Linked DNA regions of Mus musculus. The protein of the gene in region 2 interacts with the protein of the main gene of each other region in a pairwise test. Links are inferred from orthologs where the notes say so. Each region holds a gene or a part of one and is shown on either strand. Other genes may lie near its edges.

The links. The genes of interacting proteins can lie anywhere in the genome.
Region 1: the proteins of Sergef (region 2) and Dph3 interact in binary tests that used the Homo sapiens proteins (3 or more experiments, as listed by UniProt). The link is inferred for Mus musculus from reciprocal best matches to the Homo sapiens genes SERGEF and DPH3.

The regions. Positions count from the first base shown.
Region 1 is NC_000080.6:32,082,851-32,087,294, forward strand, and holds the start of Dph3 (DPH3 homolog), read right to left. Parts: upstream 2,843-4,444; 5' UTR 2,668-2,842; coding exon 2,560-2,667; intron 2,437-2,559; exon of another isoform or gene 2,132-2,436; coding exon 2,057-2,131; intron 397-2,056; coding exon 331-396; 3' UTR 1-330.
Region 2 is NC_000073.6:46,636,884-46,641,424, forward strand, and holds the start of Sergef (secretion-regulating guanine nucleotide exchange factor), read right to left. Parts: upstream 2,925-4,541; 5' UTR 2,890-2,924; coding exon 2,830-2,889; intron 2,811-2,829; exon of another isoform or gene 2,441-2,810; coding exon of another isoform or gene 2,378-2,440; intron 1,689-2,377; exon of another isoform or gene 1,377-1,688; intron 1,367-1,376; exon of another isoform or gene 74-1,366; intron 1-73. UniProt on the Homo sapiens protein: Probable guanine nucleotide exchange factor (GEF), which may be involved in the secretion process.

The DNA of each region.
Region 1 (4,444 bases), on a different chromosome or scaffold from region 2:
AAAAATAAAAGACACTCAGGATTGAGGCGGATGATGTTATTTTCAGAAAATGAATTTCCAGATGTTCAAATGATGCAGCCGACTGAAGGAAAAACCACAGTTTATAATAAGGCTCTTCCTTAAATTCAGACGGACAATTAGGAATCCTTCCAGTCCCAGTATGGAATCCAGGGCTGGCATGTCATAGGCTCCCTTTTTCATGCTGAGTTCAGTGGCTGATGAAGATCACACCCCTGAGGCTGCCCATCGAGGAGGTTGGTAACTCTGCACTGGATCCATCCACCTGGGCTCAGCCCCCACGGTTCAGGATGTGGGTACCTGAGAGCCTCTTCAGCATTTAACTAACTCCTTGTTGGTTGAAGGTGCTGGGACTGTTTCTCCACACATGAACTGATCCTAAGAAGAAGAAGAAATGCTATTAGCCGCCGGGTGTTTGTCTCACAAATGCATTAACATTACTTTCCTTTGGCCACAGAATCAATCTGGCTATTAGTTTTTTTCACTGTTCTGTCATCTTGTTTTCTTTCCTTCTTTCTTTCTTTTAATGCTAGCAATGAAAAAAAAAATCAAGATGTGAAATTTAGGGGAAAATCCATTTATAGTATTATAAAAATGCCAACAAATTTAGTTTAAAATTTTTATGACTTACGTACCAAGAACTAACTGCTGCTCAGGGATGGTCTGTGCTGTATGGCCTCAGCCCTTGGTCTTCCTAATAGATATTAGTAGCTACCCCAGTTGACACAACTGGAAACAAAGGAACATTCAAAGACTTTTGGTTTTTTGTTTGTATGTAGGTATGTACCCCACATGTGTGGGGGGTGCCCGTGAGGGAAGAAGAGGGCACCAGATTCCCTGGGGCTAGAGTTGCAGGTGGCTGTGAGCCACCACTGTGGAAGATGTAAATGGCCACTCCTTTTGGAAGCTCTTAGCCTCTAATCCATCTCCCCAGACCCAATAACACTTTATTTTTGTACAGAGAGCTGGTGTCAGCACTAGAACCAGAATCTAAAAGTATACTGAAGTTTAGCCCTGAGGTCATTAGTTAATATGCAGTGTCTCATAAATATCTTAGCTAGGGAGCAACCAGTTCCCAGAAATAAACACATCACAACTATCAAGTTTTTATATTTCAGATCAATATCTGGTCATTCAAATATGTAACCTCTTCAAAATGAGTAATAAAAAGAATGCCTTTGTGTGTTTCCCAACATATACCTGCAACAGTAACTACTTGTAAATGAAGTTCACACTCTGATCTTTCATGCTGGTTTATGCCAGCTACCACAAAAACTTTCCCAGTTACTACACATCCTCTACAGTGTGATTCCCAAGGAGTCAGTCCCTAGTCTGTCCATTGTTCTTTGCTCCATAAACCATTTTAAAATAAGAATGAATCATTACATTTCTATTATTGTCTAAATTAACACCTGCTTCTCCCACAAAGTTCTGTGCTTTGGTCCAACTTACCCTATAGTCATTTTAGAATTTATCCTCTAGACTGTTACATTCTGTACTTAGACTCCAAAGCACTAACTGAGCTTTGGGTGGGAAGTAAAGATATTTACCCCTTTTCTATTGCCATTCCTAATGGATACAAAGGAACATGGAACTGTAACATTACATCTAGGAACTATATCTCAAACAAGGTAGATTCTGTACATAAGCTAGGCAAGCAATAAAATGCAATCTTCTAAAAATATCCTAGAGCTCTGAACAAACTAAATATTAAATACAAGAGAAATGTCAAAAGGAAGAACATCAATTAAAATAACCATAATTTTTCATTCCTGATTAAGTCATCAATTTTCATTACAAAGCAATTTCTTTATTGCCCTTTCCAAAGTGATCATAAGTTACATAAAAGGCAGATCTCTGTGAATTCAAGGCCAGCCTGGTTCACATCATGAGTTCCAGTATAGCCAGGGCTACTTAAGGTCCCTGTCTCAAAAAACAAACCAACACCCAACACTCTTCCGCCCTTTTCTATCAGACAGGCTCCTTTAGGCCCTTGTCATTAGCTCACACCACCCATCCCCTTTAACATATCCCTTACTTTGTCATAAATCACTTTTATAATGAGTGAGCAGCTAGGACACGTGGCCACATCTTCTCCATTTTCCAAATCTTCCTACAACGCAATCAAACAACATATGGTCAGCATAGCCTTTCGTCAACTTCCCATAAATCTCTCCTATGTCTATGGGCAAGTCTTTAGTTGGGTAACAACACAAAGAACTTTCCTCCCAAGTGTCATCTAGGAAAAAAAAACAGGGAGATTAGATTGGTTCGATCGCCTCCAAAACCCTGGGGTACAAAATCAAGTTCCCTTCTTCAAAGAAGCTCCCAGGGGAAAAAAAAATAGAAAAAAAAGAAAAACACTTAGGGGCGGGACTACGGAGAACAGCGCCCTTAACCCGACCCTGTATGCTAGACAGCCTAGGTTACTACTTTAGGGGCGGGGGTTCGGAAGAACACGTGGGTAACTGAGCCTTCCCAGGGACACCGGAAGCGACAATGCGCAAGCTCGAGGGATCGCCGGCGGGCCCTTTAGAGTACCTTGGTGATGGCAAAGTTATCCCCACAGGGGCAAGGGTAGAAATATGTCTCCGAGTCCTCGTCATATTGAAAGTCCTCGATCTCCACCTCGTCGTGAAACACCGCCATGGTCACCCGGTCGGCACCGCATCAGCTTGCCTACCTGCGCCCAGGCAGGGTAAGGCCCGGTCTTCCCGGTCCACCCTGGCGCAGGAACAGTCACTTCCGGACGCACAGGCGATGACGTAACTTCTACCGCCGCGGCCAAAAGGGTGACCCGGTCGCGGTCGCCATGGAGATAGCGCCGGAAAGATGGTGCTTCCTGCGCAGCAGCGTTGCGCAGTTCTCCGTCCACTGGGTGCCAGCGACCAATAGTGTGAAGGGCTCCCTCTCATGGCGGTTACGTCAGTCCGGGGCCCGGGGAGTTTGGGCTTGGGATATAAACGAGTTTTCTATGCAGGTGGAGTCTTGTCCTCCATAGCTGACTTCAGAGGACATTAAAAGAATTGGCGGAGGCTACGCCCTCTTGAAAGGGGGAATCATTGAGGCTCAGGGAGCCACACAGCGTCCTCTCCAGTTCTCGGCCCACAGCGCTCCTGCAATTGCGTTTCAGGCGACCTTGAACTCTGAGTGACTCTTGGCCTGTTATGAGTTCTTGCCTGCAGGTACATCACTGCCTCTCTCACCCCAGCCACTTTCTGATACCCCGGTTGTGTTGTAGAGAACCAAGATCTGCAAGACAGGGGCGAGTTCTAGCCATATTTTAAATATTCACTGCAGTGGTGGGCACAGTAGCTTTTAATTATTGGGGTTTTTAGTGGGCAACCTATATGTTAAACTTGATCTTGAGGTTCAAAAATCCATTTTATTCATCTTTAACATAGATTTAGAGACTGGGCATCTTGCCCAAGATTGCATACCTAGGCCATAACGATGAGCCTAGCTGTCTCTAAAGCCCAGGAACAAATTATTTATGTGAACTTTAGTTCTCGGTAAAAGGAATGGTGTTCCTGGTATTTTCGTCAGCGTGCAGCCTCTTCTTTGAGAAGCACGTTGTTCCGAGAGCCGTGCTGGGCTTGTTCCGGTTACAACCAGGGACTTTGGAGTAGTGCTAAGCAGTTACTCATCTCACTGGAGGAGTGCAGTGTAGTGAAAAGTAGTATGGCAGAACTGGATTCCAGTTTGACTTGAAGAGCTCTGGGGGTTGGAAAATTACATTCTTTGGTTCTTACATCCTCTTCTGAGAGTAGATCCTTTGGAATCTAACATTCTTTTGCACGAGAATGAATAGTTCAGCAGTCATGTATGACTTATGTAGTTTACATTTCTGTAACAGTGTTTAAGTATGTACAGTTGTGTGCATAAATTACCAATTTTGTGCATGTTTAAAGGACACTATATTTTGAAGCCTTTTTGAAGTGTGAAAACCTATGGGCAGAGAAGCCTTTGGGAGGAAAAAACCCAGAACTTAAGTGTATGGAAGGTTGTTTCAAAGATCTCCATTCCTTTTTTTTTTTTTTTTTTTAACATAATTGAAGATCTAAATAGCAATTAGGAGATCTTTGTAGCCTGTTGCAGGTTAGCTGTAGCCTGTCTGGGCAGAAGAGAAATGCAGTGAAAGCCTTCTATCTTTATGGGTATAAATACTTCCCAGGTAACCTCTGGGACACAGGAAGAAAACTGATTTCCAAGTGTCTGTCTTTAGTTCAGATGATCTTTAGTTCTTATGAGCCATTCTTGAATGCGCAGAAATGGATGCAGTTGTTGGTAGGGAATGGCCTGGCAAGTATATCGATCTGTAACCCCAGCATTGATGCAAGCAGGGGCAGAAACAGGTGGATCTCTGGAGCGCAGGGGCCGACAAGTTGGTGAGCTCCATATTGGGGAGGCTACCGGCCACACGAGG
Region 2 (4,541 bases):
AAATAGGAACACTTGGTTTAAAACAACTACCAAAATATGAATACAAAACACACACTTATGGAAACCATCCCACCTCTTGGGTGCTTCCAGCCACCTTGAGCTGCAGGACCCCAAGATGAAGAATGAGACTTGTGGGGAGCACAGGCTAAGAGGGTCTTTTGAACAATACAGTTCTAACAAGTGCATCTCTGCACACAGGACGGCCACCTTGAAGCCTCACAGCTAGGAGCATTCGCATCCATTGTACAGATGAGGAAACTGAGGCCTGGAGGCTCAAGTGATGATCCAGTTACACAATTGGATGAGTGAGTTAGAAATCCATTTCTTCCATTAGTTCTTACTGTATCCATAAGAAAACAGGTATGTATAGGGAACCAGCCCAGAGATTAAGTCACATGACTCTAGACCAGCAGTTTTCAAAATGTGGGTTGTGGACGCTTTGGCAAACCTCTACCTCCAAAAATAGTACATTACAGTTCATAACTGTAGCAAAATTACAGTTACGAGGAAGCAATAAAAACAATTTTATGGTTGGGGGTCACCAGGGTCACAGCATCAGGAAGGTTGAGAATCCCAGCTCTTGCCTATTGCTCACGTACATTGCCATTGCTTTGTCCCCTTTCTCCTCCTCTTTGTGTCATTCCTTGGCACTAGAGTGCATTGCTGGCTTGACTGAGCTACCTCCTCTCCTAGAAAGTCACCACCATGAAGGCAGGGACTTGGTCTTATAGCTATTCTCCTAACCCTGAAACTGCACTGGCTGGCGGACTGTGGATGTCAGACATAAATCTCTCCACCCTGGAATGCAACACTGTTTAAGTGCACTGTCAAATAACACTGTTACAAACAACACTGTTGCACAGAGTGAAGCAGAGAGTATATCCTGGGGTTTCTGTCTTCTCTAGCTACCCCATTACCAGGCTTTCAGGCTGCTGAACATCTAAGAGAGAAGCCAGGCTAGAGCAATCCGGGGTTCATGCTTTGTATCAACTTCTGTGGTGCAATAAGGGCCCTAAACCCAGGATAAAGCTAGGTAAAGAAAAATTTAATATACCCTATGACAACTGTGTATACCTTCCTTCTTTACAAAGGGTCCAGACACAGCGTGTGCATACACACACACACATACACACAAAACACAAAACCACTTGGAACAAGATGAATTGTGTTCCTTCAAAATGCCTATGTCAAAGCCCTAACCTCTGACATACCAGAATATGACTGTATTTGGAGACACACCTTTAAAAAGGTAATTAAAGTTAAATGATGAGACAGACCATAATCCAGTCTGTCTAGTCTCTTCCCAAGACACCAAGGATGCCCATGCACAAAGAAACAGCCACCTGAGGCCCCAGAGAAACCAAAAGTGCCCACACCTTAATCTCGGACTTGCAACTTCCAACACAGAGAAAATAAATGTCTATTGTCTAAGAACCCAGCCTGTGGTGTTTTGTCACGGCAGCGGCAGCGGCAGCGGAGGCCAACTAATACATGCTCCCTGATTACGCAGCAGGAGGAATACCCCAGCAGGCCTCCAAACACACTAGGTTCAGCCCTGGTTCTGTCTCTGTCCATTCAAGGCCACAGCTGAAAGGCTTTTCCTATCAGGTGTTTTTCCTCTGTCCAAAAAGACAGCAGTCTCCAGGCTGGAAAATGACAGCAACACATTCAGTTACTAACGCCCACCCCCACCCCACCCCCCAACCCCCACCTCCCACCCCCCCTGCCAAGCCTCGTTCAAGTGCTACTTCAAGGAGTTGAGCCAGCCAGCCAGGCCAAGCCATGCTCTCCTTTCTGACAGCCTTACACTCAACAAGTGAAAGGTATATAGATAAATTCTAATTTTGGCAAAAAACATAGCTGTTATGGCTTCCTCTATCACAAGAACTGGGAATAGCTATGTATTTCCCAAACATTAACAGATGGCTGTGCACACAAGTACTCATTCATTCGTTTCATTCGCTCGTTCATTCATTCATTCATTCATTCATTCTTTAGTCAACAAATATTTCCCTGGGGTCTACAAGATGCCAGGCACCAAGAGAGACAATGTGAACACCACTGGCTCAGTACTCGCTCTCAAGAACACCTCCGCTGTAGTCAAGGAGACTGCCGTTAACAAATCATGCATTCCATTACAATTTTGGTATTTAATACTAAGAACAGCAACACCCGACATATGCATGCTGTCACGCATGTCCCCCACACTCGTGGGTATAAAGCCTCCTCTCCAATCACACGGAAGGATGACCATAGGTCAGTCAAAGTGCAGTGTCAAACCTGCCCAGCCCAGACTTCCACACCCCCAGAAGAGAAAAGATTTGGTCACAGCCGAGTAACAGCAAATACGCAGGGTCTGTGCCTTGCGCGGCCATACTCCACAGGCCTCACATCCACAGGACGCTCCCCAGGGTGATGGCGCTGGAAAGAAGCCTTCCATCCTCCAAGCAAAAGGCAGGTTCGATGACACAGGTGGCCCCAGGAGCTCTGGGACCGAGATCTCTCTGCCAAGCCTCCACGCTGTCTTTCTAGGCAGTCTGGCGGCCGAGCGCTTTCCCAGAATGGATGCTTTGCTCTGGATGCAGGGTCCTCCCGAAGTGCTTCAGTCCCTCGGGTCCTCATCCCACAGCTAGCAGTAGGCCCCTCAGGCACTGCGGGGAGACCCTCCCTCCGCACCCTCTCCTCCTTGCTGCAACCCAGGATCCTCCAATCCAGGACCCTAGCTCGGGCCGCCGCCTCCCAGCTCCCTGCCACCCACGCAGACGCCGGGAGCTCCCGGGTCTCCTCGCCCCTTCGTCTCTGCCCTAGCCCGGGGGCGGAGCCACGTACCCAGGCGAAGAGCACAGCAGCGGCAGAGACAGTCTCGGAGGCGCAGGACTCCCGCGCCATGCACACGCTCAGCCGGCGCTTCCGGGAGGGCTGACGCGGGGCGGGGCCTCGGAGGCCAGGGGCAGGGCGAGTCCGGGAGCTGGGCGCGGTCAGCGGGATGGAGGCGGGGTAAAATTAGGGATTAGGAGGGGCTAATGGGACTGGAGCAAGACGTAGCTAGGTATGGTCCTGCCCTAGAGCGCCGGGACTCAACCAAAGCACTGTCAGCAGGCACCTCGCGGCCGCCAGGGAACACACCCGGAGGTGCCTTACTACACCCACACTCGTAATTCTGCACCATGTTCAGTAATCTGGAAAACTCGCCACCTGTCCCACGCTGCCCAGAGCAGATGACCTGACAGGGGTGCAACAGCACGGTGGGAAGGGACCTGAACTGAAGATGGCAAGAGTCCAGTCCTGAGTCTTCACGAAGCTACCTTGGCCCGCTTCGCTGTGCGTTTGGGAACCCGAGAGTCTTGGGGAGCCGTGTTAGCCTTCCACAGCGGAAACCCACTACTGGTGACACAACTGGGGCTGGCTATTGTCTGATGTGCCCCTGCGTTCTCCCTACTCTCCGCGGCCCCGCACCATCTGCCCTAATTCTAATCACGAGCATAGATAATTCTCATCCAAGATAGATTTTCATACAATACAGCTTTCTATCAACGTTGTCGTGATGTTGGTGAGAGTTTAGTAATACAGTGTACCAGTGCACACTGGGGGAAATGGAATTTGGAATCTGGAATCTGGAAGGAGGACAAAAAGATCATGTCCCATTTAAGGCGATGATCTGCATTCGTAGCTCTGGCCCCTGTACAGACAGGTCTCAAGGCCTCGCCTTCCTTTTCTTCCTAGACCCTCACATTGGAAAATGTGTCAGGGAAGCTTCTGTCTAGGTCTCACCTGTTCATGCTACTGACATGTTACTGTCTGCTGTGTCTTGTGAGGGAAGCCACCCTTGGTCTTTCCTCCTCCACACTGTGGTTTCTTGAAAAGTTTGGTGGTGGTGCTTAGAAAGATCCAGACAAGCCAGGCAAAGCTGCTCTTACTCCAGAAAGAGAAAATAGAAGCCGTGAGAGATTCCATGTGCTGTTCACCGGTTTGCTGTTGCCATTTTGATCACTTCTTTCCAGCCTGTTCTAATAGGAAGTCACAACAGGGTATAATAGAAAGGTGTCTTACCAGCAGTTCCGGAAGCAAGAAATGCCAGTAACTTGCACATTGCACGGTAAGGTGGACTTGTGCGGGTCTTGTGCATGCTGTCAACAGTCTCTGGTTTTACAGACAAAATCCCAGCACTGAAGAAGAGAAGTGGGCACAAAGGCCCCTCCCTGACGAAGAAGCTATTTGCAATCAATACTTCATGAGAAAGAGAAAACCAGTTGTCTCCAATGGGACGATTGGGCATATCAGTCACCCTCCTGGGTAGGTCCCATGCTCAGGAGTAGCTGACCAACATAAAACAGACTCCATGTTTCATGTGTGGTTTTGGTTGTCCTTGTTATGGTTTGGTGAGTGTGATGGTTTACATATGCTTGGCCCAGGGAGTGGCACTATTTGGAGGTGTGGCCTTGTTAGAGTAGGTGTGTCGCTGTGGACGTGGGCTTTAAGACCCTCCTCCTAGCTGCCTGGAAGTCAGTCTTCCACTAGCAGCCTTCAGATGAAGATGAAGA